Linked DNA regions of Arabidopsis thaliana. The protein of the gene in region 2 interacts with the protein of the main gene of each other region in a pairwise test. Each region holds a gene or a part of one and is shown on either strand. Other genes may lie near its edges.

Region 1 (8,852 bases), on a different chromosome or scaffold from region 2:
CGGATTTTACTTCATTTATGCAAAGTATTGTAATAATAAAAAGAAAAAGAGGATATTCCCGGTATTTTAATTAACAGAACAACATTCATATAAATAAAACCATTCCTTTTGATTTTAATTAGGCCTAGGCGACAAAATATATAATTAAGGCTAAATAGATTGCAAACACATGGCAGTTATATCCAAAAGTAAAGATTACAAAAGATGTCGAGAAGATAAAGTCATTTTCTTCTTCAACCATATTTAACAAAATCTTAAGTTATGAATTAGTAATAAACTATTTTCCCAAGAAACTTAAACACACGTATATGGAGTTTGCGTATATGATTGCGATTCCTTGGGGGTGTTTCAGGAGTGACCTCTTTGGTTAATGTTTTCCCAAAAAGCCTAAGCCAACCCAAATCTTGAAAGACCAGAAAGCTACAACTATGGCCATTTTATCAGCTTTAATTTTAGATAACAAAACTGAATTTTGTAAGAGAAAAAATAAAGGTATGGCTATGGGACGCCGAGATGTTAATTACTATCTACATAATAACAACATATTTTTTTTTTTGAATTTAGTGTTAAATTATATTCAAAGAAAAATAAACTGTTTATATACAGAAATGCAAACTTTTCTTAAAAATAGATCAAAAGTATATCTTATTTATCTTTGATTTTGTTCTTGCCTAAAAGTAAACCACACTTGGATTCCTCTTGCGTACTTCTCTTCACATCTTACCCTCAACGTGCTTAATCCATTCCTTATGTTTTTGTCTATCAGCCTGATTATCTTCTTCGTCCTCGATGGCGTCTGTCCATATCTCCTCTCATTTCTTTCTCTCCATATAGAATGTATCGTGTTTTGAAACACATACCGAAGTACAAACCTTGTAGTGGCGTCAAGATCTTTACTCACTAACTCCTTCATAATAACAGCATAATAACATGTATTACATGAATGCATGTCACAAACGTTTATAATTCCCTTTTTTTTTGCCAACAAAACGTTTATAATTCCTTGTATGAAGATATTTTCGTCTAATTTTTAACATCCTTTTTTAGTTGATTTCCAAATAAATTATAAATTTGTTCTAAAGTTTAGTCATCTGCCTAATTAATTAACTTGAAGTTCTATATTGCTAGAGGCATTTAAAGGTCAAGTCCTTTTCAAGTGGTAACTCATTGAAAATGACACTAATGTTTTTTGCAACATTTCACAAGAAAAAAATAGAAATTTTCATGATTTTGGCTTTTGTGGTCTACTCTTTTAAAAAAAGGAATCCTTGAAATGTTTGCATGCTTGTTTTTAGTATCATTATTTTTGTTGTCATCCACTTGATGGAAAGAGCTTTGACACTTCTTTACCACAATCACTTCATAACTCATAACTACATTAAATTCTGTTGTTATCCTAACTTCTTCTGTTAAAAAAATTACTTAGAATTACACATAAGAACTCAAAAATGCAAATTTTCTAAAATTACTCGTCTATTTCAAGTAAAGTAAACCCCTCACCAATCTTAATTTCACACAGAATTTAATGTTGATTGAAGCATAGTAAAAGTCTAAATGAGTCCTTATTTTTTATTTTTACATCAAGAGTACTATTTTGTTTGCATCACATATCTTATATCTTTCTTATAAATACAAACGATCCGGTGGGTACAAGGCATCAATCATGTAAAAGAGGTACAAGCCGGTAGTGAATTTTGAGTCGGTCGGTCTTAAAATCGCCTAAATTTACTCTTCTCGTATTCAAAAGATTTTCCATATCTCAAAAAGTAGTGTAAAACTGAATCACTTTTCTTGTTAAAAAAAAATACAATAAAAACAAACGTAAGAGAAAGGGAAATGAAATAATAATAATCAAAAAAGAAGAATTTATTGATAACCTAACTAACAACTAAAAGATGAAAACACGACACCAACTTCTACCTGCATACTAAAGTTTCGTCTTTAAATGTTGCAGCTGTCTCCTTACATTTCACATCTTCCTTGTTTCTTCTCTCTCTCTCTCTCCCCTCAAACTTAAATTCACATTTTAATACTTGTTACTTCAACTATAATAATAATAATAATCTTTCTTCATTATATATTTTCCTCTCCTCTCAGATCTTCTCTCTCACCATCTTCTCTTGAGATCAAGATTGAGTATTCTTGTCTCAAGAATCGATACTCGAGAGCTCTTATGGACCAAAATGGTCATAACGACGAAGCAGAAACAGTTTCATGCGGCAACGGCAACTGCAAAAGCAAGATCGTGCCTGGAGATGATCACGGTGGAGATGAGAGTAGTGGTACCAAGAGAAGGAAGAAGAGAAAAACGCAACAAAAGACAATGAAACGACGTGAATTAATGTCGTATTGTGAGCTACCGGAGTACATGAAAGACAACGAATACATATTGAATTATTACAGAGCTGATTGGTCCATTAGAGATGCTTTCTTCAGCGTATTTAGTTTCCACAATGAGTCCCTCAATGTTTGGACGTAAGTACACCAAATTTTACTTCTAGTTTCAATTATTTTTTCTTCGATTTTTTTTTCTAATAGTTTTTTTTTTTTGGACAGACATTTGATTGGTTTTATCTTCTTTGTGGCACTAACCGTCGCCAATATTATTCATCACGACGGATTCTTCCCCGTGGTAAGTGTCCTTTAATCAACACGTTTATTTTTGTTTTTGTTTAATAATCGCAAGTTTAGCCCGAATTTCAATTTATTCCCTCGAGATCCACATGCAACCACTATATTAACTTCAAATTAGTCAAGTGAATGTGTCAAGTAATTAGATATATACCTAATTGGTTTTGATTAACTTATCTTAATTTTCTAATGAATTGTTCGTTGCTATACCTGGATTTTGTTATGATGATTTTGAATAAGATATCAAAGATATATAGACATGAATCGAAATGATGAATAAAATCTTTGACAATATTACATTGACTATAATTTGTTTTCTGTAGTATATTCTAAACAACTCAATAAAATGTAATTCTTTTAAGGATTATATATCAGCTCAAATCTATTATTTAATCACATATCTAAACAACTGAAGAAAATGTATTTCTTAACTAGATTAGAAATCAACTCAAATATGTTATTTGATCATATATCTAGTATATGTTTTTTTAGTATCTCAAACTAGTCAATAAAAATGTAAAGCTAATGGTGGTATCAATGTTGATGATTGTAGGATGCAAAGAGTCCAGGGAATGTAACAAGATGGCCCTTCTTCGTTTTCTTAGGAGGCTCAATGTTCTGCCTACTCGCAAGCAGCATTTGTCACCTCTTCTGTTGCCACTCAAAAGAGCTTAATGTCTTCCTTCTCCGAATAGACTATGCCGGTATCACCGCCATGATCATCACTTCCTTCTTCCCACCAATCTTCTACATCTTCCAGTGCACTCCTCGGTGGTACTTCATCTACCTCGCAGGCATCACATCCATGGGAATCTTCACAATCATCACACTTTTCACCCCATCACTTTCCGCTCCCAAGTACCGAGCTTTCCGCGCTTTGCTCTTTGCCTCCATGGGGCTGTTTGGGATTGTCCCAGCTGCCCACGCGCTAGTGGTCAATTGGGGAAACCCGCAAAGGAACGTGACGCTCGTGTACGAGTTGCTTATGGCAGTGTTCTATCTTGTTGGAACAGGATTCTACGTAGGGAGAGTGCCAGAAAGGCTTAAACCGGGATGGTTTGATCGTGTGGGACATAGTCATCAGATCTTCCATGTGTTCGTTTTGTTGGGTGCTTTGTCTCACTATGCAGCTGCTCTCTTGTTCTTGGACTGGCGTGACCACGTTGGTTGTTAAACCATATATTTGTAATTCTTTTAAATATAATATTATTAATTTGTTGTATCGTGGTGAACAAAATTGTAATAACCCATTTGTTTTAAATTGAATTGTAATTCAACTTGTGTTAATTGTTATGTTTGTTGAATATGCATGATTTTCAGAAGTCTTTTTCTCTATGAGAAGTTAATGGTAAATCAAATATTTGCCACTGAATAGTTTCGTTTTTGAATATGATGACTTCAATTGTTTGTTTGCTTTATATCATGAAAGCAAACAGAATTGAAAAGACATAAAAAAAAATTGATGTAAACACAAAAGCAAAAATTGACGGTTGAAACAACCAATGATTTGTTTTATAAAAAAAAAAAAAAACCAATGATGCAAAGGATGGACTTCATGCATGGTTGATGGTTCTTTCATCTATCTACATGCGCACTTAGCTTAGTGTCAGGATTCCCTAACCACAAGAGAATTAATATGTATATATGCACCATCAAATGTTCATCAAAGTCTCCGCTTCCTTTTTCATTCTTCATAGCCGAGTCCTCTTATTATTGCTTCAAAGTTTTTTTGTTCTTTTTGATTTGATATAAATATATGTGTTACTAGGTTATACAGGTGTTAATTAGATGCAAGACAAGGATTGATCAGACATAAACATAATTAAAGACCAAGCTTCACTCTGTAACTAGACTCTTGATCGATAATGCGTGAACGGACCCAAACTCTTTTCGAATTTCGGAAGCCAAATGTCTTGGTCTTGCCGTGAGACTTGGTGTATATTTTCATATATCTTTTTTTTTTTTTCCTTTTGATGTATGAAACTTTTTTTATGTGTGGTTAATGAGTAAAACAAAGAATCGAACACCATCACCATTAGTTTAAGGTTGATGTGTGAAACATAGCGTACGTGAAACAGTTCTTCTAATTAACCCAATTTGATGTTATTGTTAAATTATCTTCAAGAGTGACAAATATACGACCAAACATGTCAGCTAAAGCTTTATAATGCCGGTTATGCTTAACCACCCCAAATTTGATTTGCCTGCCTCAGACCGGTTATAGCAGTACGGGAAGAACCGGTTTGATAATGGGTATAAAAGTTTTTCGTTTTTCTTCTTGCAACCAAACCCAAAATTGACCCTAAAATTAAGCATGCCATGATAGCTAGCTAGTAACGATCGACGGTGCCAAACCCCGAACGATATGAAGATTTACTTCTGATTCGGTAAACATTTTTATAAAGCAATAAATACAAAATTAATGTTATTTGCTTCTCAATTACTCTATTAGTCTTCCGTTTCCTTCCCTAATAGGATTTATTTTGGTCCATTTCTGCTTTAATTTTTTACCTTTCTAGTGATTTTATTTGGTAGACTTTTAGCTGGTTTGGATTCTCTACTATAATAGACTCTTATATTCCTCTACTACATAAGTATATACCCTAAATGTGTCACTGCCCAAGAAACTAGAGAAAAAAAATATGGAACAATCAAATTTTGTTAATATGAAACTCTCTCTAGTTCCAACTCTTCTTCTTCTTCTTGTTCTTCTCGTCTTTTATCAACATCACTCTTCTCCAAACCTAAACTCGAACGCTCTCTCTTCTTTCGTCGACGCTACGTCCCTCGCCCCATCTCCTTCACCGTCCCTGTCTATGGAGTTTAGTGTCGCCTCATCAAACCTTTCAACAATTTCGAGTCCTCCTGAAAATGTATGTTTTTATTAATTTACGTGATTTTGTTCATTTATGCTATAGATTTGTTTTGACTTTTGAATATATATAATTTGTTGTAATAAGAAAGGAAATAAGAGGAACATAATTGAGGAAGGTTTAGCAAAATCAAGATCCGCCATACGTGAAGCCGTGAGGTTGAAGAAGTTTGTATCGGACAAAGAAGAAACCTTTGTTCCTCGAGGAGCCGTTTACAGAAACGCTTTTGCATTTCATCAGTAAGTTTCTGTTTCCTTTTTTTCTTCGTTTCTCCTTTTTTTTTTGTCTTTCAAATTTTCATTTAAAGTTACTTTCCATACTAGGAAATAAATGTAATACTAAGATTTTATTGGGGGAAAAAAACTAGTCAATATGAAAATTATTAAGTATACAACTACATTTTATGCTAATGATATGACAATTTTCATTTAAGTTACCCATAATTTTCTCCCCAGATCATTTGGATTTCAAAGAAGAGAAATTCAAAATTTACCTCAAAAGTGTAACCGACATTCGACAATGATTTTTAAGCAAAATACATTTATTGTTTACATGAATAAATTATTTTCGAAATCCTTTTTATTCCCTTCATTTGGAGTATGTATAAATTCGGTTTTCTTGAATTATTTACTCGTTTGCTATGGGAAACGAAGCGATTGAGTATAATTCTAATCCTTCCTCGTTCCTTAGTTCTCTGCGTCTCGTTAAACTCAAGATTGAACTATTTAAGTATTCATTTTCACTTTGTTATATGGTTTATATTATAACTATTTAAGTGTCCATGCTCTTATACTTGTTTTTACTTCAATACATTGTATTGCTTATATTACACACAACCAAGCGTGTGTATAGTAAATACCAAAATAAATCTTTCTCCCAAATCTTAAAGCAAATTGTACCTCTCTTAAAGAATTGCGTAAACTTTATAATATTCAGAAAAGTATGTAAATTTTTTATATAGTCAACGTGTCTTAATTAAGGGACTATACTATATATGCACAATGGTATGCGGGTAGAGAAACGTAGCGCCTACTTAAAGCCCTGCTTTGGTAATTGTAGTCACAGCTCTATGTTATCTTCACATTACAACCTTAGTTTAGTTATTAGAGTAAAAAAAAAAAAAAAAATGTTTAGTTGTATTGTACTACTTTTTATTGACTTCAAAATCATCATTTCTTTGCTTGTTGCAAAATTGAATTGCTGCTCCCAGTTATTTTATTAAAAGAGAATTAAATTACTCTAAATACATAGTAAGAAATTACCTAACCGTATTCAAAAACTGTCTTGTGAGTTGTGATTAGTCTATCACAAATTCGTAGACAAACTTTAAATAAACAAAAATTGTAGCTAGGAACAAATGTACTTCACTGTGTTTATGAATTATGATCGAGTAGTAACAACACTTTTTCTTATGAAATTGAGCAGAAGCCATATAGAGATGGAGAAGAAATTCAAAGTGTGGGTGTACAGAGAAGGAGAGACACCGTTAGTTCACATGGGTCCAATGAACAACATATACAGCATTGAAGGCCAATTCATGGACGAGATCGAGACAGGGATGAGCCCGTTCGCGGCTAACAACCCCGAAGAGGCTCATGCCTTTCTCCTCCCTGTCAGCGTCGCCAACATCGTTCATTACCTATACCGGCCGCTCGTGACCTACTCGAGGGAACAACTTCACAAAGTTTTTCTTGACTACGTCGATGTTGTGGCTCACAAGTATCCTTATTGGAACAGAAGCCTTGGAGCCGACCATTTCTACGTTTCTTGCCATGATTGGGTTTGTTTTCTTTCTGGAACCAGACTTATTTTTGTGATGTTGCTACTGAAATGTAACATTTTTAAAGACTCTTGCAGGCACCAGACGTCTCAGGATCGAACCCGGAGCTGATGAAAAACCTGATAAGAGTTCTCTGCAACGCCAACACATCAGAAGGTTTCATGCCCCAACGAGACGTCTCAATCCCGGAGATCAACATCCCCGGAGGCCACCTGGGACCACCTCGGTTATCGCGCTCTTCGGGCCATGACCGACCCATCCTTGCTTTCTTCGCAGGGGGTTCACACGGTTATATCCGCAGAATTCTATTGCAGCATTGGAAAGACAAAGATGAGGAGGTCCAAGTCCACGAGTACTTAGCCAAAAACAAAGACTACTTCAAGCTCATGGCTACGGCAAGGTTCTGTCTCTGTCCTAGTGGCTACGAAGTGGCTAGCCCTCGAGTCGTTGCAGCCATTAACTTAGGTTGCGTCCCTGTCATCATCTCTGATCACTACGCCTTGCCTTTCTCAGACGTTCTTGATTGGACTAAGTTCACCATTCATGTTCCTTCTAAGAAGATCCCTGAGATCAAAACCATACTAAAGAGCATATCCTGGAGACGCTACAGGGTGTTGCAGAGAAGGGTTTTGCAGGTCCAGAGACATTTCGTGATCAACAGACCGTCACAACCGTTTGATATGCTTAGAATGCTTCTTCACTCTGTTTGGTTGAGAAGACTAAACCTGAGGTTGCCTTAGTAGTGATACTCTGTTTTTTTTGGGGAATTAATATTGGTATAGAACAATAACGTGAACTGTAGTATAACATTGAAAGTAGCTACAATGGTAACCAAAGGTTTACAAATAATAAAGACTATTTAAAACTGTTTTGAGACTGTTTTTGTTTAATGAATTGTATGAATCACTCTTCATAACTCAACTTGGATCAGATGAAATCGTTTGTTCTCTATAGGCATTTTGTCTAACTCAAAGGTGACCAATCCAGAGGAGGAATCGTACTCGAATGCAATCTCATTTGACTCAACAACGCATCTCTTAGGCTTCACAGAAGAGTAAGATCCGAATTTGCCACATCCTTTAACTTCCATTACCACTTTCATCTTCTCGGCTTCATATCTAAGTCCTTCGATAGCTCCTCCCGAATTGTACATGTTTACTAGACCAATTGGGGCAAAAGATACACCATCAACAAGATGACTAATGGGGCTCACCGTGAAGATCTCGTGCTCACGGATTTTGAGTGAGACTGGAAGAGACACATTGTATGGCATAACAATAAGTTCGCCTCTGCTCTGGGAGTAAACAGCACAGTCTCCATTCCAGGTTGTTGGATCAGTGGAGGCCTCCGATATTGAATGCACATCACGACCACGAATGGAGCCAGTGAGGCTATCAGTTTTAGTCTGGTGGAAAATGTTTTTTCTCTCTGTGCTGCTCCAAGCTGCTCCTTGGCAGTTATACACGCCAAGAACTCCAGTGTACTTGTTCATGTTCCATATCTTTAGCAAGCTGAAACCAAAACAAAGCATATTAAGAAAATGAGAAACCAAAAAGTTTTGAAGAATT
Region 2 (7,759 bases):
GTAAATGATTAAAGAATAGGTTCCACCAAAGAAATTCATAGATTGAAAATCAATAATGGTACATGCATAACTAAAAAAACAGGATTAAAGCTCTGTGTTTCAGTATTTCCAGTTTCTTGCAAAAGTGAGCTCTACTTATAACGTTCCTGAAATTTTTTTAATGACACTTTAAAACCCATTGGATCCAAACTCTTACTTGAGTATTCCAGAAATATTCCAATTCTCATGTTATTTCACCTCAAGAGAACCATATACATGCAGACATTTAGATACTTGGGAATTATCAGAATAAAATTTGCAAATACTACCCAGACTTAAACATATAATAACGTTAATCAAATAGAATCTAGCTTATCAAGACTCAACACAGGACAAAAATGATAAAACAAAGTTTTATAATTTAAAGTCGGGCATAAATAAATGATTTCCAAATTTAATGTTGGAAAAGTGATAGTCCCTATACACAAGCATCTTAGGGTTGGAGGAGGTATGGGCCAATGGCACAATCAGCACTCAAGTCTCATTTGAAGAAAAAAAAAACTAAAAAGAAGAAACCCCACTTTCTTAGAAAAATAGTATTAGATAAAATACTCAGTCCCCACAGTAATCAGTAAGCATCTCGAGCTATATTTAAGACAACTTTGAATTCCTCAGAACTTAAGAAGCAATAACCAAAGAAAGCCAACAAAGCATAGAGAAGCGACTTTGACCTTAAGCTTTCTCAAAGAGTAAAAATGTCTGCAAATGAGTTACCTTCTTCAGCTCAAGCCTTCCAAGAACAATTCCTTGGCGGTTTTGTCTCTAGAAAGCTGCTTCTGCACAACCCATTTGACCACAACACTCAACGAGCCTTTGCGGTTGCACCATCTCCTCTCATAACCCATGAGAACAACCTCAGTGGGAATGTTATGATGCTTCTCTCAATCCTCATTTGTGGCATTATCTGCTGCCTCGGGTTACATTACATCATTCGTTGTGCACTCAGACGTTCTACACGTTTCATGATCTCCGAGCCTGTACCAAGTCTTTCGTCAACACGGGGTTCATCAAACAAAGGAATCAAGAAGAAAGCTCTTAGAATGTTCCCAGTTGTGAGTTACTCACCTGAGATGAACCTGCCAGGGCTTGACGAAGAGTGTGTCATTTGTTTGTCTGATTTTGTTTCCGGTGAACAGCTCAGGCTGCTCCCCAAGTGTAACCACGGGTTCCATGTTCGTTGCATAGACAAGTGGCTTCAACAACATCTGACTTGTCCAAAATGCAGAAACTGTCTGGTTGAGACGTGCCAAAAGATATTAGGTGACTTCAGTCAAGCTGATTCAGTTACGGCAGAACCAACAGAGATCGTAATTGTCACGATTGTTCCTCTAGAACCAACAGAGATCGTAATTGTCACGATTGCTCCTCTAGAACCAACAGAGATCGTTATTGTCATGATTGCTCCGCTAGAACCTGAAGGAAGAGTAAACACTATTAGAGAAATCAGCTAGATGCAAAGAAAGACAGAAACCATCAGCAATTCAGAATTTGTACTTCTAATTTTTTTATGACTTTCTTTTTACCTGTAGCACAAAGTGTATACAGAGTGATTATGTTTCATTTTCAGTAGCATCTCATGAGTCCATCAAACTTCCTTTGTAAAACTATTTTTACGGTGGAATGTGAATTTTGCAATCTTATCCAAAAACATCAAGATTCATCTGATAACCAAAGATTGATAAGTGCTGGTCGTATATTCTTATGTGTCATATCAGTACACTGAACCAAAACGTCACTAGACAGAATAAATGGTTTCCCAATAACTAATGCCAAGAGTTAGTTGTGTGAAGAAGCAGTGTGTAGTCTACCATATGGAATTATGGTCCAGACCTGGTCCCATGTACTCTTGATAATGACAAAAGCACAAAGTTTGTGAAACAAAATTACATCTATCTACATGAATCAACCCACTTAATAATTAATCTATATGCCTCAAAACCGATCCACACGCATAAGTCATCAAAATAGCAATTACCATGAACAAGACAAAAAAGATAAAAAGATATTAGTAAGAACTATGAACAAATAGATATTTACTTGACAGAAAGAAATTATTAAGTAGGGAGAATGATCAAATAAATATTTACTTTACAGATATTTAGTAGGAAGAATGACCAAAAAGATATTTTATAGATATTTAGCAGGAACTAAGAACAAATATATATTTAATCAAAAGTTCACCAAAAGATGAACACTGAGAAATGGCGCCAAAGAGTAAATGATTAAAGAATAGGTTCCACCAAAGAAAGTCAATAATGGTACATAAATGATTAAAAGACAGGACTAAAGCTCTGTGTTTCAGTATTTCAACTTTCTAGCCAAAGAGAACTATAATTAAAATGTTTCTGAAACTTTTCTTATGGCTCTTAACACCCACTGGATCCAAAACCATTTCCAAATCATAAATGCATCCAGCAAAAATGTTCTCAGAAATATTTCAAATTCTCACCAAGTTGCGTTATTTCACCTTAAGTCGTGTCGTGTGATTTCACCTCGATATGTTGGTAACATTTCACTTCCATCATTCAAAAAAAAAAACGGTGAATGACCAATTTTAGTTTGGATGATCTTTCTGTCTGTTCAGATTTCTCATCTTCATCCATGTTACCCCTGCAGTTTTAAAGTGAATGAGTATCAAATTAAGATATTCCCAACAAACGAATCATTATAGCATATAACACAACAAAAGTAAAGTTTATTTGCTTTAAAGAAGGTACCAAGAAAACAGACCACTATATATATTTGTACCAGTTATATGTAACCTAATGGCACAGACAAAAGAAAAAAGGAATCCATTTCCGAGTGAGACTGGTGAGAAAAGATAGAAAAGATGCATCTCCTACTGTGTAACATCAACTTTTTATCCCAAAGATACACAATCTTCCCTAATCTAATGTTTCACTAAACCAGCTATTAGGAAAGTAGCAAGAAACAATGTTATACAAAAGCACATATCAAAGAATCTTGCTTTGATTTTGGAGCTACAAGAAAAACATTAGATACTAGATTCATGTAGATTTCCCTCGCAATTTGCAACCAATGGAAGAAGATATCTCATAAAGCAAACAAAAAGAATCATTTTTTATTCGTTCATCCGTGGGACCAATTCCTTTACCTCTGATTTAAAACAAAGGCATGTAAAGATAAAGAGAGAGAGAGAAACTGTTTACTGAAAAAAAAGCAGGAGGTGGATACTAATGCTATGAGAGTGATAAAAGTAGCCTTTAACAAGATTGATTGGGAGAGGCTTTGTCCTTTTGGCTACTCTATGGACAACTTGAGTTACTACGAATGGGGTGGATTCCTGTTCCCCAAACATAAGTAGAGTTCACTAAATGGAAATATTTCATCCGTACACTCTCAAAACCGCACAAAATCAACAAAACTTTTAAGATTCCACCACTGTTAAAAAATAGCAAAAAGGGAAAGAAAAGAAAAGTTAAATCAAACCTTGCTTTATATATGAGAAACTCCTTTACAGGTTAGACACATATGTGATATATCACTGGGTCAGAACTATCTACCGAAACTCGGTTTTCATCAAGACCATAAGTAGAAAACATATATTATAAGCCCTAACAGGCTAATATCAAGGAACAGTGAGATATCAGTAAAATGAGCCAGGAGATATTAATATTTGAATGCTGCTATATCAAAGATAGGGAAAGTTCATGGCTGCTCCAGTTAAAAAGCTCATGGGTCCCTAGAAGCAATTCTGGGAGATATGATTTGCTAAGGCCACAGCCACATGGCACTACTATTGCAGCAACTGGTATGATGGACCCATTTTATATAACAAAGCATATTACGCTGCAAATGATTTTATAAAATTAGACACTAAAGGTAAAGGTCCATAATGTGAGCTTGATCTTTATAGCTTCTTATTCATCCAACCATAAGTTTTTCTAAATGAAATATATAAAAAAAAATTCCTCATTAAATATCTGAAAAAAAATTGAAACTTTACCTTTCCTCTATATAAACAATTAGCCTCCAAACCTTTACTCTATATAAACAACCTCCAACGGAAACACAGAAAGCCACCAATCTATCTTAAAACTAAGTTATCATGTGCACTACCATTTCCATTTCCATTTCCACCATAAAACCAACTGAGATCTTTCAAGAAATTCTTGGAAGTTCTTACTCAAGAAAATTACTATTTCATACCCATGATCAATCACCAACTCCAGCACCATCCCCATATGTAGGCGATAACAACTTTGATGCAAATGTTGTTATGGTCCTATCAGTCCTCTTATGTGCACTTGTTTGCTCACTTGGACTCAATTCTATAATAAGATGTGCCTTGAGGTGCTCCAATTTAGTACCATCTGAAGCTGGTGGTGACAACTATCCTGTTCGCTTGACCAACACAGGAGTCAAACGAAAAGCCTTGAAGAGTTTCCAGACAGTAAGTTACTCTACTGAACTAAATCTGCCTGGCTTAGATACCGAGTGTGCTATCTGTCTCTCGGAATTTGTAGCCGAGGAACGTGTGAAGCTGTTGCCGACATGCCACCATGGATTCCATGTCCGTTGTATAGACAAGTGGCTTAGTTCACACTCGTCCTGTCCCACCTGCAGGCACTGCCTCATCCAGACATGCGAGAAGATTGCCGACTGCAGCCAAACAAGCTCGTTAAACTCTACTCAACCACCACAAGACAGCATCATTCTCCAAATAGCACCACTAGAACCGGAAAGATGGATACGCTGGTTTAGGTGAACTAGAACTAGTCACCTAGATATTTGTAGCAGCTATGATTAAACTACTATGTTTTAGAATTATTTGAGATTACAAGCGGTCTACACTTAAAAACAAGTTTAGCATTTCAACTGTAAAGTTGTAAATATTACGAGAATGTTACTTTCTTCATATCTTGAACTACTAAATGTTTATATTTCACAGTTACAAGCCAATAAAGGAAAATTTCATTAGATCTGCAAATACTCACACTGGAAAACAAAACATAAACAATTCAAAAATCAAATGTACAGGATGATGAGAAGGAAAATCACTGAAAGGCTTAAAGCAATAGTTTAGTGGAGGTGGCCAATACACTTAGTCAACTAAAGAGAGATGTCATAATCTTTACCATTATGAAGTTTCAAGGTTATTAAAGTCAGGCTCTGCCACTAGCTTATTTTACTGATTATCATAAGGGTTACTACACTTTTATATAAATCATACAATAACATAATGTACCCTTCCAGAGGTAGAAGAGTCTTCTTGCTTTGTTATTGAACAAATTAAGTTGTAGGCTGTGACAATGCGAAGCCCCGGAGAAAAATGTCAAGGCCCACAAATGAGAGAAACATGCAATAATATAATCCATCGAAAGGAGAACAAGAGAGAGAGGTCACCACCATAAGAAACAGCACAAAGCGAATGGGGTCCGAGGACGAATCCCACCATATGGTCAAATCAAATAATACTAAAAGGGGAGGTTCAATGTTATACTGACCACATGAAGAAAATGAGTGACCACAATAATTCAACAACCGGCATTTACCAAGATCAATTTCATAGATAATGGATTATGAAGAGCTGCAATATCAATTACTTAGAAGTAGAACTTTAAAAAAAGCAGTACGTGTAACAGTACTTTACTGACTAGCTAAAGAGAGATCCTTAGTAGTAATCTAGAAACTCCCATCAATATGGTCACTAATCTCCAAATAAAGAAATTGATAAACAAGTTATGAGGTGGACGAACGAAATTGTAAACCCTAGATACCAAAATGGGGAAACTTTGCATCAACCAAATGAGATTATCTTCTGAACTAATTACGTATCGGGATTAAACAATGAACAAGAAGAAGTAAACAAGAGTACATGAAATTGAAAAAATCAAGTTTCGCTCCAATCAAATTGACAATAAGGAGACAAAGATACGAAGTTCAAATGAAGCTGTACGAAAATACCCAGAAAACTATGTGAAAAATGGGGAATTTTCTTACCGTATTCGTTGATGAAGATCTGCTGAAGACGACGAAGTAGCAATGTTCAGAGATTGTTCGCTTTGTTGGCGCCAATGATTTTCAGAAATTCTCTCTTGAAACCAATATCGGATCTTCCATAGTTTCCACTCGGGTCGGCTTTTAACGGGCCCATTTATATAAAGCCCATTTAGCATTTTTCCTAAATCGGGTGTTTTTCTTATATCAAAATAGAAAGGGATTTTTTAAAATATCTCTTTGTTGGTTATAGTTTATAAACATTTGGTTTAACAAGTTATAATGAATGTGGTGAGCCACTCATTACAAGAAATTATTTACAACCACATGAGAAAAGAAAAAAACACATAGGCTATTAATGGAGGCAGCGGACAAAACGGTCTAATTTATCTGCGGTTTAGTCCATTTCATTTTTGGGATGGATAATAAACCGTTGCGGAGCAAGTTTATTTGTATGTAAAAATAGTTCGCAGATGGTCCGCTGCGGGTTTTTTCTTTTTTTTTTTGTTTGGACCACTGCGGACTATAATTGATGAATGAAAAATAAAAAGCGGTTTGATCCATTGACGGTTGTGTCCGCCCCAACCGCCGTAACCATTCACAACCCATGTTGTAAAACCAAGAATAACAAAAAAGATTGTTAATTGACTTTTTCCGATATTATATCAAAACGTGGCCGGTCATATAACTTATATATATGTATTATTATATATCAATGGAGTGTCAGTTTAATATAGTCATGATCATGAGTAATGTAGTTTCATAATGATGGGGCACAACGTTCTTAAGGGTAGTACTACCAACTCAATTTTCTCTCGGCATGTGCTGTACACATGGTTCATAAAGTTGACTTTTGGATTTCCATCTCACAACAGCTATTTCTTTTCCGGTTTTCTACCGGTTTGCTCCGGTTAGTGGACCAACGTTAAAAGTTTAGTTATGACAGTTTCTTGGGTTCTACACATCTTTTGATTTCTATTTACCCTCGTAACAAAAATAGAAGATTTTGTAGTTTTCTTTTAATGGTACCTACCTCATGTGGATTGTAACTACCTTTTGTTGGATTCATTATTGTAGGTACATATATTTGTGGTTTATATCCATCCACTCTCTTATATAGATCAAAAATATATAACTAAAAAATAAATTTTATCCCCAAAATGTAATTTAACCGAATATTTGATTATTTTCTAATCCGATTTTTAAATTATATTTGAATAATTTTGGTTCTTCGGTTAGATTCGGGTAGTTTAATTTTGGCTAGGTTATCGATGGAAACTAGTTTAAATTTGGTAAAAAACGGTATAATTGTGGTATAATCTGGTTATAAACAACATATAATTTAGTTAACTGATAAGTGATAACTGAACTAAAGCAAAATACTTGGTTAATTGAAGTAAAATTCAAATTTAACCAATCTGTTAAGGACATGTAACTTTTCAAAGCGAACAGCTAAAATCTTGGTTCGGCCCAATTTGGTTATTTCAGATCGGTTATTCATCCCATGGCTAATCTGTACTAGATGGTCAGAATGGTAAAGACTCCAAGAAAGAGGCTGGTAAAGATAAAAACCAAACGTTACATAAGTGATGACAAGCAACAAAGTTACAAAGAGGTGGTCTTAGGGTTCTTTGGACTCTCCACATAAGTGGTAATGTTGCATGACACCTCAATTAATCTTTTAACTAAAAACATAAATAATTGGTAGCTACAATACAAAAGTTCCCATCTCTTAAAATTCAATTCAATTTTGTTACAC
Region 3 (6,172 bases), on a different chromosome or scaffold from region 2:
ATTATCCAAGAATACGTCGATGTTCGACCAGCACTTTGCTCATGAGTCATGACGATATCAACTTGGCAAATTAATATTGTAATCACGTGAAGGACCATGCGACATCATCATCATCATTTGTGGGGTAATAACATAAAACTAATGCCGGCTTAAGAAAAGTGTGTTCATTTCTTAAACTTAAATCACATTTGGAGGACTCATTATAGAGCTCATCACCTTTGACCTGACTTTATCTTGACCTGAAGCTACCAGGAATTTATATCTGAACTTTTGTTTCCTTTTTGACGGCGAAATAATTTGTTTAGTATAAGTTTTGTCCATTCTTTACAGGTCAAAAACATAATTAATACTAATAACGACGATATTTTAATGTTTCCTCTTGCATGAAAAAGCATTGAAAATGACGGAGTTGATTCACTTTATTGGTGGCTGCTTTGGGCTCACATTCAACATGTGCCAATTAAGAATTCTGAGGGTCGACCTACCCATCCTCATTCACTCATAGCGACAATTCAAAACAGATCTACTGGGGCTTTAAATAAGGGTAAGGCCTTGTTCCGAACTGGGCTTTAGTAAGATATTATAACATTTCTGTTCCAAATACAGTACATCAAAACTTGAATCTAACTTATATCAACTTCAATAATCATCAATTCATCAGTTAAAAAAACTCCTTCTTTCATGGTTTAGTTTATCAAAGATATGCATTTGATTTATAAGAAAACCCAAAGAGTATTTGTTACCTAGTCGTCCCCGGGTTTCACGGGGTTACAATAAGAGAAACAAAATGGGCCACATAATATTTATTTATTTAGTGATTCTGTCGTTTAAAAAAAAATTAGTTTAACACATTGTCAAAGTTTGAACTAAGGAACTTGTAACTCAAATACTGAAACTTTAACCATTAGACTACATTTTTATGCAAATTCGGCCAAAACTAAATAATAATATGATTAGCGGCCGCAAGCTTATGTTTTGCTTGCTTGGCCTTGTGGCCGGCTAAATAACCTAAGTATATAATCAATAAATTACATAAACGACCGGATAAATCAGAACTTAATTATAATGTTAAAAGTAATTAAATGAATGATGACCCTCGTCGTCTCTCCTCTTAAAACACAATAATCTCATAAATACAATTTTTATATGAAGTCTTCACAAACTACTATAAATTTCCCAAAGTTGTTCTCTCTCTTTGTCCACTCGAAGACTCATGGGGATAAGAAGGCACTCGTGTTATGGGCTTCGGGGCTTTTTATTGTTCGCCCTTTCGAGGACCTTCTCACATGTTTGGACTTTTGAGTCTAAATGCCTTATTTCCTCACGAATGACGTGAACATTTTTTCGTCCTGAACTCAAAAGTATCAATTACACACTTCACACTACTAATGGTCAAGTTTTTTCGTATTTGAAACTACAAATGTAAGTAATATATGCGATAAATTTATTATCCTCTGCTAGTAAAATCCATTAAAAAAAACTACCAATGTGGGTGTATGTTTTCTTTCAGTATATATAAAGAGTTTTCGCAGAGAGCACATATCGATGGTGGTACATCAAATCTGATCATTCATATCTAAATAATTGTTGTTGAGTTTTCTATATGTGTGGAACGTTAGATTGCTTAAGCTAGAAATTGACACAAGAGTTTGATCACCGAGTTCCTGCCTCCTGGCCTCTAACCGGTACGTCTCGGGTGGGAACTGTCTCCCACAACTTTTCACTATCAAGCAAAAAGTATTACAAGCACTAATAGAGGTTTCTCTTCTCCTTGTTACAAATTTAGAAATTAACTCACACACAAAAGACAATAGAAAAGGAGACTATACCGACACGAAGACTATGCCCATATCTTCACAATTGTGCTATTATTTACCGTTCTAATCTGGAAAAAAAAACAGCGCACGTAGGAGAATTGGGCACGAAGACATGAATGGGACACATAAAGGATCAAAAGAGTCATCATGGGTCTGCCATGATGAAAGTTAAGAAAGTTCCAATACGCGCGAAACAAGATTGAATGCGACTTCTCTCTATACCAAAAACGAATCTCCCAAGTCCCAAGTGAATATTGTGAGCCACTAACTTGTTATTAACATTTTGAGACAAAAAAAAAATTTGTACGTGTTTTTGCCAAACCCACTTGGCCATGACCAATCAGAAAAAGACAAGGAAGATGTGTATCTATGTGTAATGAGGAGGCCACGCCATCAGTTTACTTGCACTTTTCCAACTAGACGTGGCCTCTCACCGATCTCAACCTCACTTTCCTCTCATTTCTCAAATTTTATTGGCTACGTGTTTTTGTGTTTAGCGTTCAACCCAAATATCGATATATTCTTCTTTTTTTTTCACATTTTTAACGATTTCGAGCAAAATAATTCGATTTATTTGTATAATTTTAATATGGTAGTTTTACAAATAATGAAACGAATGACCAACTGATTTGTTAGGTGTTACAATAAATATGGAAAAAATCTCATAAGTTTGAAAACATTTATTCTGAGGAAACTTTTTCTTCCCCAAAAGAAAAAAAAAGTTTAAAGTGGAAAAAAGAAAAAAAAGGAATAAAAAGTTTGAATTCAGTTTTTTTCTTTTCTTTGATAGATTTCTTTCTACTTATTTATTACTCTACTACACACCACACAAAAACAAAAATAAAATAAGTAATCATAGTATCCCATAAATCAGTAAAGATAAATAAAATCCAGAAAATACTGGGCCTATCATTTTCCTTCACCAACTCTATAAATGAAGAGATAATCCTACAGTTACACCTCAAACCAACTCCATCTCACTTCTCAAGTCTTATAATTTATTCATTTCTCTCTTCTTCATCGATCTTCGGCTTTTAGAAAACCTAATCAGAAATGGCAACGGCGTCGTTTAACATGCAGTCAGTGTTCGCTGCTCCTTCCGGTGTATTGACTACACGCAACATCAGAAACACAAACCAACTCTTCTTCAAGAGGATTGCTCCGGTAGGAGTCAGATGCATGGCTCAGGTATATATACACTAACCTCATAGTCCTTCCACTTCCCTACGTTACTTATTTGACTTTTAATCCTGACCGTTCCTTACATTGACTATTTTTTTAGGGCGATCCTATCAAGGAAGATCCTTCTGTGCCCTCGACCTCGACTTCGGCCACTCCACCACAAATGCCACAGTCTCCTCCTCCACCAGTTAGCAAGCCTAAGGTATGATCTAATGATCAAAGTCATTAATATATATCACTAGCTAAAAAAATGAAGCTAATGAATAATTTTCTTATTGTCTAGGTGAGTACGAAGTTTGGAGATTTGCTAGCGTTTAGCGGTCCAGCACCCGAGAGGATCAACGGGAGACTAGCAATGGTTGGATTCGTGGCGGCCATCGCCATGGAGTTATCAAAGGGAGAAAACGTGTTTGCTCAGATCTCTGACGGTGGTGTCGGGTGGTTTCTAGGAACAACAGCGTTGTTGACGTTGGCATCGATGGTTCCGTTGTTCAAGGGAATAAGGGCAGAGGCAAAGTCAAAAGGGTTCATGACTTCAGACGCCGAGCTATGGAACGGTCGGTTTGCGATGCTCGGTCTCGTTGCGTTGGCCTTCACCGAGTACGTCACTGGTGGGACTCTAGTCTAAAGCTAAAGCTTTTTGTTTGCTAGTTTAAGGACAAATTTGGAGAATGATTATGTAACGCATAGATTGATTTAATACTATGAGTTTTAAACAGTGTGTCAACATGAATCAAAATTTAAAACCATGAAAAAAACATTATAAAAATTTATTTGAAAAAGTACTTCAAAAGTTTTCTTATAAGATAATGTGAATGGAGAAGAAGAAGTAAAAAATAAATTTTAGCTTCTATCCAAGGTTTGAGAGTTTATGCATTCTTTTGAAATGAATCAAGAGCCAAGAATAATTAATTATGCTCTTCCTTGTTATTATCGACCAATAGAGTCATCATGTGTCTGCCATAATGAAAGTAAAGCAAGTTCCAAGACGAAACGAAATTGAATGCGATTTCTCTCTAACAAATCACCTCATCTCAATTCTCAAGCCCATGGGTTAGTCTCATCAAAGCCCAATCAAAGCGTCAATGCTTCCCAAGAACAAAAAAAAATATATTAAGATGAACAAACAAAAAAACACTTAAAAGAGGAAAGATCTGGCCACTACAACACTACACGATAGTACGATCGATGAATATAATCGGAAAGATTTGAGTGGCTCAATTACATATTGCTTATACGACGTCGTTTTGAGTAGCATCATTTCGTTAATATTTATGTAGGAGACTGAAACAAGACAGAGAAAAGAGAATCTCCGAGGAAAACAAAAGTTGATGGCGACGTCTAAGCTTCAAGCTCTCTGGAATCACCCGGCAGGACCAAAGACAAGTGAGTTATCACATTGTTTCATCAATAATATATTACTCTTTCTTCTTCCGTTTCAATTAAGACTCTATTGAAACGTTACTATTGGAAAATGTTGAATTGTTTATAGTACAGTTCTTGACAAAAAAAAATCTATATCACTTTAAATCCTCTAATGAATAATATATTCTAATTGTAAACAGTTTCTCTCTTTTTTTGTTGTTGTTGTTGTTGGGTATTAATCAGTTCATTTCTGGGCTCCAACATTTAAGTGGGGTATAAGCATTGCTAACATTGCAGATTTCCAGAAACCTCCAGAAAATATTTCGTACCTTCAGCAAATTGGTAAATAACTACTACTCTTCAGAAATCTCTAATCTTTCTTGTTACAATTATTGTTATAAACATATTATCCATAATTATTGTATTAGCTGTGACATGCACTGGAATGATTTGGTGTCGTTGCAGCACTATAATTACTCCTGTAAGTTTTGTTTGCTTTTCGAGTTTTACTTTTGTGATTGGATTCTTGGTTTTGGTTTATCGATCTGATTCTTTGGACTTTTGTTTTTTTTTAACAGAAAAACTGGAACCTGTTTAGTGTTAATGTTGCTATGGCAGCTACAGGGATATACCAACTTACTCGCAAAATAAAGTGAGAATCAAACCCACTTTTTTGTTTTGCTTGTGTTTTAACATAGATAACAAATTCATCAGCTTACTATATAAAACATTTCTTTTGCTAAGTTAAACGCAATCAGAAAGGTTTGGTTTGGCGTTTACAATCAGCAAAGGAAATTTTGCTTAATATGTAATGCAAACAAAGAGTCGAAGCTATTTTAAACTCGATTTTTATGATGATTGTCTATGATAGTATGATTTTATCTTTTGATACATCAATGAAATGCTTATTAACTTTTTTTTTGATATTAGGTATGATTATGTATCTGAAGCAGAGGCTGCTGTTGAAATTGAAGGATGATGATGATGAAAAAGATGAAACATTTGACATGTGAAAATGTTCGTTCATTAGTACTGTCTTGTTAATGGACCTCTAGTAGCATATGCCAATGTTTGGATTTTTGTTAGATAGTGAATGGTACGTTACATGCTTGCTAAAGATTTTTATATTATTTGGGACAAGATTGATAGTTGAGTTTATGTAAGATTAATCAGTAATTAGATCAAAATAATAACTCTATATCTCTTAAAAATATGTTACCTCTTTATCAATGACTAGATGAGTACCCGCACTACGTGCGGGTTTACGTATTATTTACAAATTATTTTATATAATGTTTGTTCATATAAAGTAAAATTGAATGCATAGGTTTTGAAACATAAATATGATTTGTAATTGTTTTTGAAAAGCCCAACTATATTAGTTCATCTGAAAAACGAATGTGATTGAATTGTTTTTATTGTTGTTTTAGATTCTCAGTTTTTTTTTTGAATTTATATATCCTTGCTTTTTCAGTTATATGTATAGATTGTGAGACGGTGAAATTTTAGAAAATTTATTTCTTACACTAAAAATATAACATGTCTTTATTAATCATATCTCTGCATATTCAATCTAAGCATATTCAACTTGATGTTCTTGGAAAGTTTAGTTAAGTTCTTGTCATAATCTTATATCTTACGTATTAGTTATAAGGATAGCTCCTCAAATATCTTTCAAATTACTTGTTTTCTTAGCATAGATCTCGAAAAGCTTAGATATATTTAATCTGCATATTCATTTAGTTTCTTTCATAATAATCGTCTAATTTTTAGGCTAGGAATATGTGTAACATGTTTGGATTTTATCA
Region 4 (9,205 bases), on a different chromosome or scaffold from region 2:
TAAGCGATCTAAAGGAGAAAGAGCGCGAGCTTGATTCGAAGAATGAAGAAGATTCAAATGTGTGCGTAAATGACTAAAACGCCCTTCATTATCTTCACGGAGACGAACCCATGGCCTGGTACTATGACGAGAATGCCCTATGACTCAGAGATGGAAGATGACTAGATGTTTTGTTGCATGAGTTAAAGAAAAAAGTCATATGTAATCGAATATGTGTAATATTAATGGGTCTTTATTTCTCACTATCTTCGGTTTTTTATTTAGAAAGATTTGTATGACTTCTTATTTAATTAAATACCAGCCGGGTCATCTTTTTGAAATAATTTGTGATATTTGATTTTAAACTTATATGATGTTAGTATATGTTAAAATACTGGTTGAAATTGAGTACGAATTAGCCTAATATTGAGTAGCATACGTTTAAGCACTTCATTCTTACATCGTTTGAGATGCAATTTCAGATGTACACATTGGAACTCATTAATAGAGAGGTTTTGTCTTACAAGAATTTAACACTTGAGCATCCATTTTGGCACATTAGATTTAACAACAAAGTTTTAAAAATTAATTAGGTTGATACCAAATGTTAAATTAGGCATTTATTTGTTTTCGTGTAAGGGTTTTAATTGAAACATAAGACAAATTTGTCTTTTGATATTTCAAGAATTTTTTTTTACTCTGCTGAAGCTAAGGTTAAGATATTGTGCTCTAGCAAAGTTAATCATGTGGAAGATGATGAAAGTTTTAGGGATCTCAAAGGCTATTTCGACTATATGAATGATTTCAAGTATCTGTTCACAATAAACATCCCAGCCACTGCTGCCAACATGAATCTGAGAAAGGTTAATAGCAAAAGAGAATACAAAAGGTGATATGGGTGTAGTAAATCCCATATATAGCAAAAGAGGATACAAATGTGAGTGCACCTCTGTATTTCACATTTCAGTAAGGATTAAAGAGGACACAATTACAACGTATGCAAGAAATATGAATAACCCTATTTGAACTAATAATCTTGGATTTTCTCTCATATTTGGGGACGTCACCGACCTGCAAGCAAAAACCCTTGCTGAGTCTAGTACAAGAAACCATAGTTATTTATACCAAGAGGAGATTGTCGATTCTTAACCTTGCAATTCGCTGCGAGAGTCGATGAAACGGTAAACTTTGGATGAACACGATGCCTGGTCCCGTTAGAGTTGCTGTTACTACATTATCACCCTTTTTTTGACAAAATGTAGATGATTTGTAAGTTTGACACAAAAGGACCAACCTTAATACATATTGTTTGTAATGGATAAGGAAGAAACATAACATACCCCGAAAACTGCCCGTCTTACAGGAGCAGCATTGTATTTGATTTGGAAATTGATCGACGGAGTGAGAGCGGCAATGCAAGAAACGTCAATGGTGAGAACTTCTCCCACCTCCAGGTTTTTCTGTACAACTTTATGAAGCAAATGGAGTAGGATCAGTTTAAAAGGCCTAAACCTAAAGAGCAGTAAGTTGAGATAAACTTTAGTTGCATACCAGAGCCGCCAGCGATAATAAAAGCAAGACCCTGACCAGAAAGCCTTTGTCTCAGAACCCCCTACAACAACGACTCTCTGACTTCAAGCCAAACATATATAAAATTTTCACATAGTAGCATCTACAAGAAGTAACTAGGAAAGGTATAACTCTTAAGTTTTGAATGAACTGTGCCAAAAGCCAATGCAATGTATTGTTTTCCTTACCTCAGCCCCAGCTGCAGCAATGTTTCTTGCTCGATGTCTCTGATACACAGTGTTTACGACCTTCACATCATGGACAGAACAGAGAAATGCATCTGGCTACACAACAACAAGAAAAAGTCACATCATTGAATGAGGAGGAAAAAGCTGAGAGCCAAGCAGCTAAAGATTGACGGCTCTACCTGGCATAAGATGTCCCCACCAAACATTGCCAAATCAAGCTTCACGGAAAGAAACAAGCCAAAGGTCACCAAAACACATAAGAACGAGATAAGGAGATATACTTATATCAAGCAAGATACTAAATACTACGGAAGGAAATCATGGCAAGTAAGAACCACTAACTGGGAGAATCCTTGCCAAAGAAGGTGCAGCGATACCAACAAATCCATCGTTTTGCCCAGTGTTACGAAGAACTATACTACTAACACTCTTTCCTAAAATCCATTGTACAACTCCAACTTCTTGTTCAGGGGTATAAGTATTATCCATCTCAATGGACCCAGACATGTAGCACATTGAACCTAAAGAACCATATATAATCAGTTAACATATACAATCCAACCCAACAGATCTTACAAAACTTAATGAGGAATCATAATATGGAAATTACCAGGCTTAGCAATGACCTTCTCTTGTGGTTTTAACATTATCTGTCAAAAAAACAATCAAATGCTTGAGTATATATGTCAATCACATAAACACAAAATGCCCAGACTACAAAATAAAATGTCGACCTACCTGAACAACCTGTGCTTCACCACCCAAAATTTGGAAAGGTGTGATCGTATCTTCTTGACTCTGCATCATATAACCACTTGTGAGATTCATACTCCCACAGACACATTCAAGAGATCAATTTCTCACCCAGGAAATAGCTTATTAGCATTATCACTGAATTAGATGTAAGTACACATCACATTACTCAACACCTACATGAGAAAGGATCCTAAAATACTCGCGAAGAAGTATATTCGAACACTAGCCTTCTCGATAGTGACAGACAAGAATACGAATCTAAGAGGCGAGAAGAGAACGAAGATAGAAGACAAACCTGATAGACATAAGGCTGAAATGGAGTAGAGAAAAACGGAGCAGCCATGGCGGTGAAAACCGCAGAAAGATCTTCCAAACAAAAACCTCCGAATCCAAATTTCCACAGAACCAATTGGATTAGAAAACCTTTCACGTCGATGCGAGACGATCAGATCGCAGATCCAAATAACACACTCGAAACACTCTGAGCTCTCTCAAAACTCCGGTCGAAATGTTCGCGGTGGATGTCACCGACGGGAACCCAACAAAACGACAGATTAAATTCGCTTAAATCGGCCTGAAGCTGCACGTGGAATCTGTTTACGTGGAGAGATCTCATTGGTCACAAAATACACATCGACGTAAAATTTCATTTCCGGTTTAATATAATTACATTTCTTCTCAACCAACCCTCTTTCACTAGATTTATTTGGTACAAAATTTCTTATTCAATAGCCGGTTTAAAGACATTGGTACAACAATTACAAATCTTGTCGACCACTAGAGACATCTACAGAACTCACAAAACCTTTACTAAGCAACCATCCCACGCAACCTTTACTCTTCCATTGTTGTGTGTGAATAATCAGAAAGGAACCAAGTAGCTTCATCTATTAATAAGAAACTTAGATAGTTTCCCAAATAACTTAACAACACAAAACAATTTAAGAGCCTGTTTTCATCACCAATAACTTCAAGTGGAGACAGATGACAGATCTATCATCTATCTCTATCCATCTCTATACAAAGACCGGCAAAACTTAATAAAATCACTACACATTGGCTCATCCACCAGATGAATCCAATAGAAATGCAGTCTGAGTTCAACTACTACTACACGCATTGTATTTCCTCATCATCTCTACACTATCAGCTATTGTAGACCCTGGAGTACCAACAAAACCCAGTGAAGCACAGCTACAAACAGCTTCCTCTATGTAAAGCTGCACATTGGATCCTCCATGAGGGTAACAATGGGTCTGCATCTTTTTTATACTATCAAGACTCATCGGAATAGACCCAAATTTCTGGCCGTGACTCGCTGAATCAAGTTCATGCTCTGTTCGCGCTAAGAATTCATCTTGTTCCCCTATAAAGTGGAGCTTGAAATTTGTAGAGTTCTTAGACAAATCACCCAAGTAAGTTCCGGTCCAGTTAAATTCAGGAAGGTCTGTCATTACAAACACATTAATTAGACCAGGATTCTTAACGCTCAAAGCTTCCAACTTCTGATATAAACCCGTAAAAGTGCTCTCCCGATGATTCTTGAACTGGCCATCTAGTAATCTAAGTTGTGCACAAAGAAACGGCGCCTTTATGGTTTCTGAAGCAAATTTCTTTCCCGCGATCATTATCTCTCGAACAAAAGGAAGGAAATCGACCTTCTCAACCAAAGATTTTATCTTTGGAGATTTATGGATATCGATATACAGCTCTGAGCCTTTGTATGGAGCTGTGAAGAGGCTCCCAAATGCTAGAATAGCTGCAGACTCAGCTTCTGTACCATGTCCAAGAGTCTTATACACATCTCTTCGCCTTCTCACGTTGGACAATTTCTTTTTCTTCTTGAGCTTCTCATCAGGCTGGAACGAATCTAATCTCCCATCAGCTTCTCCATTTTTATAAGTCCAAACAGTGGTTCTACAATCTTCATCCACAGCATACAAACATTTATCTACATTACCACGAACTCCAGATAACAAATAGCCACACTGTTTCAGTGACTCATAAGCCTGAGACTGTTCAGCTAAATCATCAGTGCATAGAGTCTCCAAGTCAACACCACACTGTAGTGATGCAAAGTACCTAAAATCAATGACTCGAACAGCCGAAGAAGATACCAGCGACGAAATGTCTACAATATCAGCCATCGAAACGTACCTATAAACACCAACATTTGTCACCCACATTGATCAAATTACTAAAACTCATTACGAAAAAAAAAAGAGATTTTGTACCTGTCAGTCTTAAGAAGCTCAATTGAATGATTCCAAACTGAGATTCGTATCTCGCTGGGACTCAAAACCCTAAATTTAGGACAACTACCGAGAGCAACGGCGTGATGATCCAGAATCGGAGGAATAATTAGGGTCCGATTAAGAATTCCCGCCATAAGAAGCGCATTCTTAAATTCCGATAGCTGATTACTGAATCCACTGTGAGGAGCGTACCAGAGAAACTTCTGACCTAGAAGAGTTCGGGTTAGTATCTCGGATCTGCACTGAGGGAATTGAACGGATCCAGAAAATGCAGAGATTGAGAACAAGGACTTGGGCATCTCGGAGTAAGTGATGAAGAAGACGACGATGAAGAACACAACAAGTATAGAAACGGAGCAAAGAAATATCGCAGATTTGTCGGTTTGCTTCTTCCTGTTTGGCCATGGACGTGGGCTTGGTCTACTGGGATTGAAGAAGTTGTTCATGTTTTTTGCTCTGAGGTTTTAGTCGCCATCATTGCGTTGCGTCTAGTTTTGCTCATGTGTAGAAGATGCCAAAACGGTGAGTGTCACTGTTTTGGGCCTAACTAATATTCTCTGATGGGCCTTAACTAAAATAATACGAACTTAAACATAGTTAATTTTAGAAATCTTTTTGTAACATAATCTATACGAAGCTATTTGCGCGTCCACATAACATTTTAAACAAGCAATGGAGATTAGATATCTTGCTAATTAATATTTATGAACTTATTTTTATTTTTATTCTTTTTAAATTTTTGTAAAATAAAATAAAAAATATATGAAAATAAAAGAATATTTAAAAATATAAAAAATTTCTAAATATTTTGTCACCAAAATAATATTAAAAATATCAAAATGTAAATTTCTATTTTATTAAATTTATACACAAAAATAAATTTAGGTCTTTGGACCTAACTAATAATATTCTTTGATGGCCTAGAGAAATCGAATTCACTAGATGATCTAATATTTGTTGATTTTTAGTCCAAAATCGAATTCACTAGAGAAATTAACCTATTTAGCACTTACATGAATATATTGATCATCATTGATAGACTTAAGCAGTTGTAGTCTTTTAAGCTTTTTACGGGTTCTTTTTTTTCTCTTCTTTTCTTTAAGATCTCTTTATTTATATGTCTAAATCTAAACGTAATTTTCTGGATTTATTGTTAACATATATTAATCCCCATATCAGAAGGATGATAATTGATGTTGATATATCAGGATATAAAATAATTAACTAATGATTTATTTTAGCCAACAAAATATAACATACTTTTAACAAATCGTGATCGAATAACAATAAATTCTAAATAACACTTTAAAACACTAAAAGTCTTTTGAAATCATAAACCAATAACACCCCATGAATAAAAACATAATTAGAAACTTACGCATGCATCAGCTTCCGTAAATCTCCTACATCTCTCTCTCTCCTCTCTGCTTTTTACCTTCTAGGGTTTTTGATCATCTCTCAGGTGAATACGTTTTGGTATAATCTCATACCAATGTCTGCGAATTCCAAGTCGGAGAGGTCTGCTTCTCAATCGGCGGAGACGGTGGCTGTTTCTAACCGTGTCGTGGCGTCACGGTCAAGTCGTCAGCCGCGTCTCTCTTTCTCCTCCTTTGCTCCCTCATCAGAGCACGATAACCTGAAGAAGCTGAAATCCGATGAGATTTCTCCCGCGAGAGAGGAAGTGCCGGTGTCGGTGAAGGAGAGAGAAGAAACGGAGGAGGAGGAAGCGAAGAGGACGTGGAATCTTCGTCCGAGGAAGGCTTATGGTGGTTCGAAGAAAGGAAACGGCGTGTTCACGGCGGAGGTTTGCGGTGGCGGCGGAGGAGGAGGTTCGGAGGTGAAGAATCAGAAATCAGGCGCAGGAATTGAGCCGAAATCGAACAGGCAGAGAGGAATCCCGGCGGAATCACCCGGATTAGGCGGTGGTGAGGTTGCAAACGAGAATCATAGGCTTTGGGTTGCTCTAGCTCGAGACGAGATCGAAGAAGATTTGTTCAGCATGAGTGGGAACAGGTCATCTCGCCGGCCAAGGAAGAGGGCAAAAGCTATGCAGAAACATCTCGATGTAAGTCACCAGGTGTTCGACGAATTGCCTCACAGAGAATTCAAAACAATGACTACGTTTTTTTAGTGTCTCCATTTTCTTAGGCAATTCAATGTCTGCCATTGTAGGTCATTTTCCCTGGATTGGGTCTCGTTGGGATGAATGCTGATTGCTTCAGAGTAGCCACTTCTCCGGCTAAGGTTAGCTTTGATCAGTCCACTTACTTGCTCGATGAAAGCTTGGATCAACCTGCCCTTTAGCTACATTGATCTGTAGATAGTATGAAATGGATGAAAGTCTAGACCTTTAGGTGCTATTACAGATTTTATGAAGTTTCATTCTATGTTAGCTTTACGTAACCTAATGGTACTGCTGCTTTAATGATACAAAACCCGTAACAGCGATTGTATTCCATTTGCAGTGATGATCGATGCAAAGGAGTCTTTTGGTGAAGGAAAAAGGTGAAGTCATCTCCCTAATTGAAACTTATCATTTTCATGGATATATGGTAACGTTGTTATGATATTACATTGCTTGATCTTGTTGAGGTTTGTGCTTAAGTAGTTGGATTTTGTTTCTGCTTTGTTGCAGGGTAGATAGGTATGCTGGTGATCGAGAATCCAGATACATCACAGTAGAAGCTAGGAAGAAGATATCTCAAGAGACATGTTCTTGTCTCATATCAAACTTAGTAGTAACTAAACTATAAGTAAATATCGGTAAGGTCATATAATTATAGATATATATAAAGAGAGAGAGCGAGAGGGGTTTGTTTTTGAGTTAGTAATTAAGATGCGTCTAAGTTTAATGGCAGAGGAAAACAACATAATCTATGTTTAAAAAGGGTTTTTTGAAACCATTTATAACTCTTATTAGCACAGACAATGATTTATTAAACCATATATAACTCTTATTAACACACATAGTTAGAAAGTGTATTAAGATCCATATAAGTTTTTTTAAGTACAATAAGGTTTCTAAGAGAATAAAAGCAAATTAAAAACCTGCAGATAACTTTGAGAAGACGGCTAAAAATAGTTACAGTTCTGCATTAATGTTTCTAATTATTCCAAAAATGTGAAACTAAGAGTGTAGTTTTTGCTTTTACGCTGGTTTATTAATCACACAGTTGTTTCCTCTGTATGACTGTATTTTTTAAAAAATCTGCATACCCACTTAACAACAACCTGCATAAAGAAAATGGCTCACAGTTCATATTCATGTGATTGCATCTTAAGGCTTGAAGTCCTAATGTGAGAATGGAGTACCTAAACCACAATAAGCTAAATGGGCTAATATTCATGATTTCAAATCCAAAAGGCCCTAGAATACCACCAGTTACGACTTCTCTTTCTTTTTTAGGAAAATGTGATTTCTTGTAAATTTTAGTATTTAATTTGCAAGAGCATGCTTACTTTGAAGAAGGTTTGTTCCATTAATTATGAACTCTTCTCATTATTACTATAATGGGAATGATTATATAGGGGTTAGAGCATATAATTGGTTATCTTAGGCCTTTTGTGTTTCATTTTCATCACATGATGATTCTAGTCCACAATCATTTGACTCTCGCCATTTATGCTCTTCTACAGCGAAGCCAAATGGTCAGTTTGTCGGTTTTAATTGTTTCTTTTTAAGAAAATTAAAAAATTAGTTCCGACTCAAAAACTTAATCATTATTACATGTAGTTCTTTGCCGAATAATCAATGAAGAGTATCATTCTCAGTGGGCTCCTCTTGTTTCCAAAAAGCCAATTCATTCGAGAACAACTTTCACCGATTACATCACACACAGCCACAAAAGTATCATATACAGTTTCAATCTTTTAATTTAAAAGAGAAAAAGTGATATCAAATTTTAAACGTAATTGAATCCAAACCAAGAACAAAACCGAAGATGATCGCATGTCCATTTATTTTTTTATCATATTATGTAGCTTGTCTTTTACTTAGAGATTAATTGTTGTGATAGAAGTTAATGATTATGTGGAGTAAATTAAGTACTTTTCTAAACATAACATTAGGAATGTAAGATAATGCAATGACGATGATGATGATACTAATAAATTAAATGATGTGATTGGTAATATATCATGTGCCATTAATTGCTTTATCGACGTCATACACAGTCCTCGTTGTACTTGAGATATGTATTCTTTCAACGACCAACCACACACAATGGCACAAAAAAACGATTCCTTACTCTGTCACGCAGTGGAAAATTAGGGGCTAAACCTAAATTCCATGAGTGCCCTCCATTTCTACTAAAATATCCAAATTATTTTCGACCAATCAAACCATAATATAATTTCACGTCTACCAGAACTAGGACCTGATAGAGAATTGTGTAATCGACGATGGTTTTTTTAATCATCAGTTAACTAGAGGAAGAACATATATATTAACAACACATA

Evidence for each region.
Region 1: the proteins of AT1G49230 (region 2) and HHP1 interact in a protein complementation assay, tested with the Arabidopsis thaliana proteins (one large-scale study listed by BioGRID).
Region 3: the proteins of AT1G49230 (region 2) and ELIP2 interact in a protein complementation assay, tested with the Arabidopsis thaliana proteins (one large-scale study listed by BioGRID).
Region 4: the proteins of AT1G49230 (region 2) and AT4G17430 interact in a protein complementation assay, tested with the Arabidopsis thaliana proteins (one large-scale study listed by BioGRID).

Annotation. Positions count from the first base shown.
Region 1 is NC_003076.8:6,835,978-6,844,829, reverse strand, and holds HHP1 (heptahelical transmembrane protein1), read left to right. Parts: upstream 1-1,883; 5' UTR 1,884-2,173; coding exon 2,174-2,475; intron 2,476-2,556; coding exon 2,557-2,632; intron 2,633-3,184; coding exon 3,185-3,805; 3' UTR 3,806-3,997; downstream 3,998-8,852. Other genes in the region: AT5G20260 (Exostosin family protein), read left to right, coding at 5,274-5,504, 5,592-5,743, 6,930-7,284, 7,362-8,024; DIN10 (Raffinose synthase family protein), read right to left, coding at 8,195-8,795. UniProt on the Arabidopsis thaliana protein: May act as a negative regulator of abscisic acid (ABA)-mediated osmotic stress signaling and function in cross-talk between cold and osmotic signaling.
Region 2 is NC_003070.9:18,205,212-18,212,970, forward strand, and holds AT1G49230 (RING/U-box superfamily protein), read left to right. Parts: upstream 1-3,982; 5' UTR 3,983-4,108; coding exon 4,109-4,768; 3' UTR 4,769-4,966; downstream 4,967-7,759. Other genes in the region: AT1G49220 (RING/U-box superfamily protein), read left to right, coding at 735-1,490; AT1G49225 (uncharacterized protein), read right to left, coding at 1,101-1,244, 1,328-1,452, 2,579-2,649, 3,407-3,441, 3,934-3,936.
Region 3 is NC_003075.7:8,415,503-8,421,674, forward strand, and holds ELIP2 (Chlorophyll A-B binding family protein), read left to right. Parts: upstream 1-2,739; 5' UTR 2,740-2,870; coding exon 2,871-3,005; intron 3,006-3,099; coding exon 3,100-3,201; intron 3,202-3,282; coding exon 3,283-3,627; 3' UTR 3,628-3,823; downstream 3,824-6,172. Other genes in the region: AT4G14695 (Uncharacterized protein family (UPF0041)), read left to right, coding at 4,331-4,385, 4,608-4,706, 4,793-4,845, 4,943-5,016, 5,295-5,343. UniProt on the Arabidopsis thaliana protein: Probably involved in the integration of pigments into the mature light-harvesting pigment-protein complexes.
Region 4 is NC_003075.7:9,721,609-9,730,813, forward strand, and holds AT4G17430 (O-fucosyltransferase family protein), read right to left. Parts: upstream 5,227-9,205; 5' UTR 5,194-5,226; coding exon 4,727-5,193; intron 4,650-4,726; coding exon 3,593-4,649; 3' UTR 3,102-3,592; downstream 1-3,101. Other genes in the region: AT4G17410 (DWNN domain, a CCHC-type zinc finger), read left to right, coding at 1-34; AT4G17420 (Tryptophan RNA-binding attenuator protein-like protein), read right to left, coding at 936-1,050, 1,130-1,221, 1,320-1,447, 1,531-1,591, 1,737-1,832, 1,916-1,954, 2,079-2,257, 2,347-2,386 and 2 more; AT4G17440 (chromogranin (DUF1639)), read left to right, coding at 6,240-6,812, 6,920-7,051.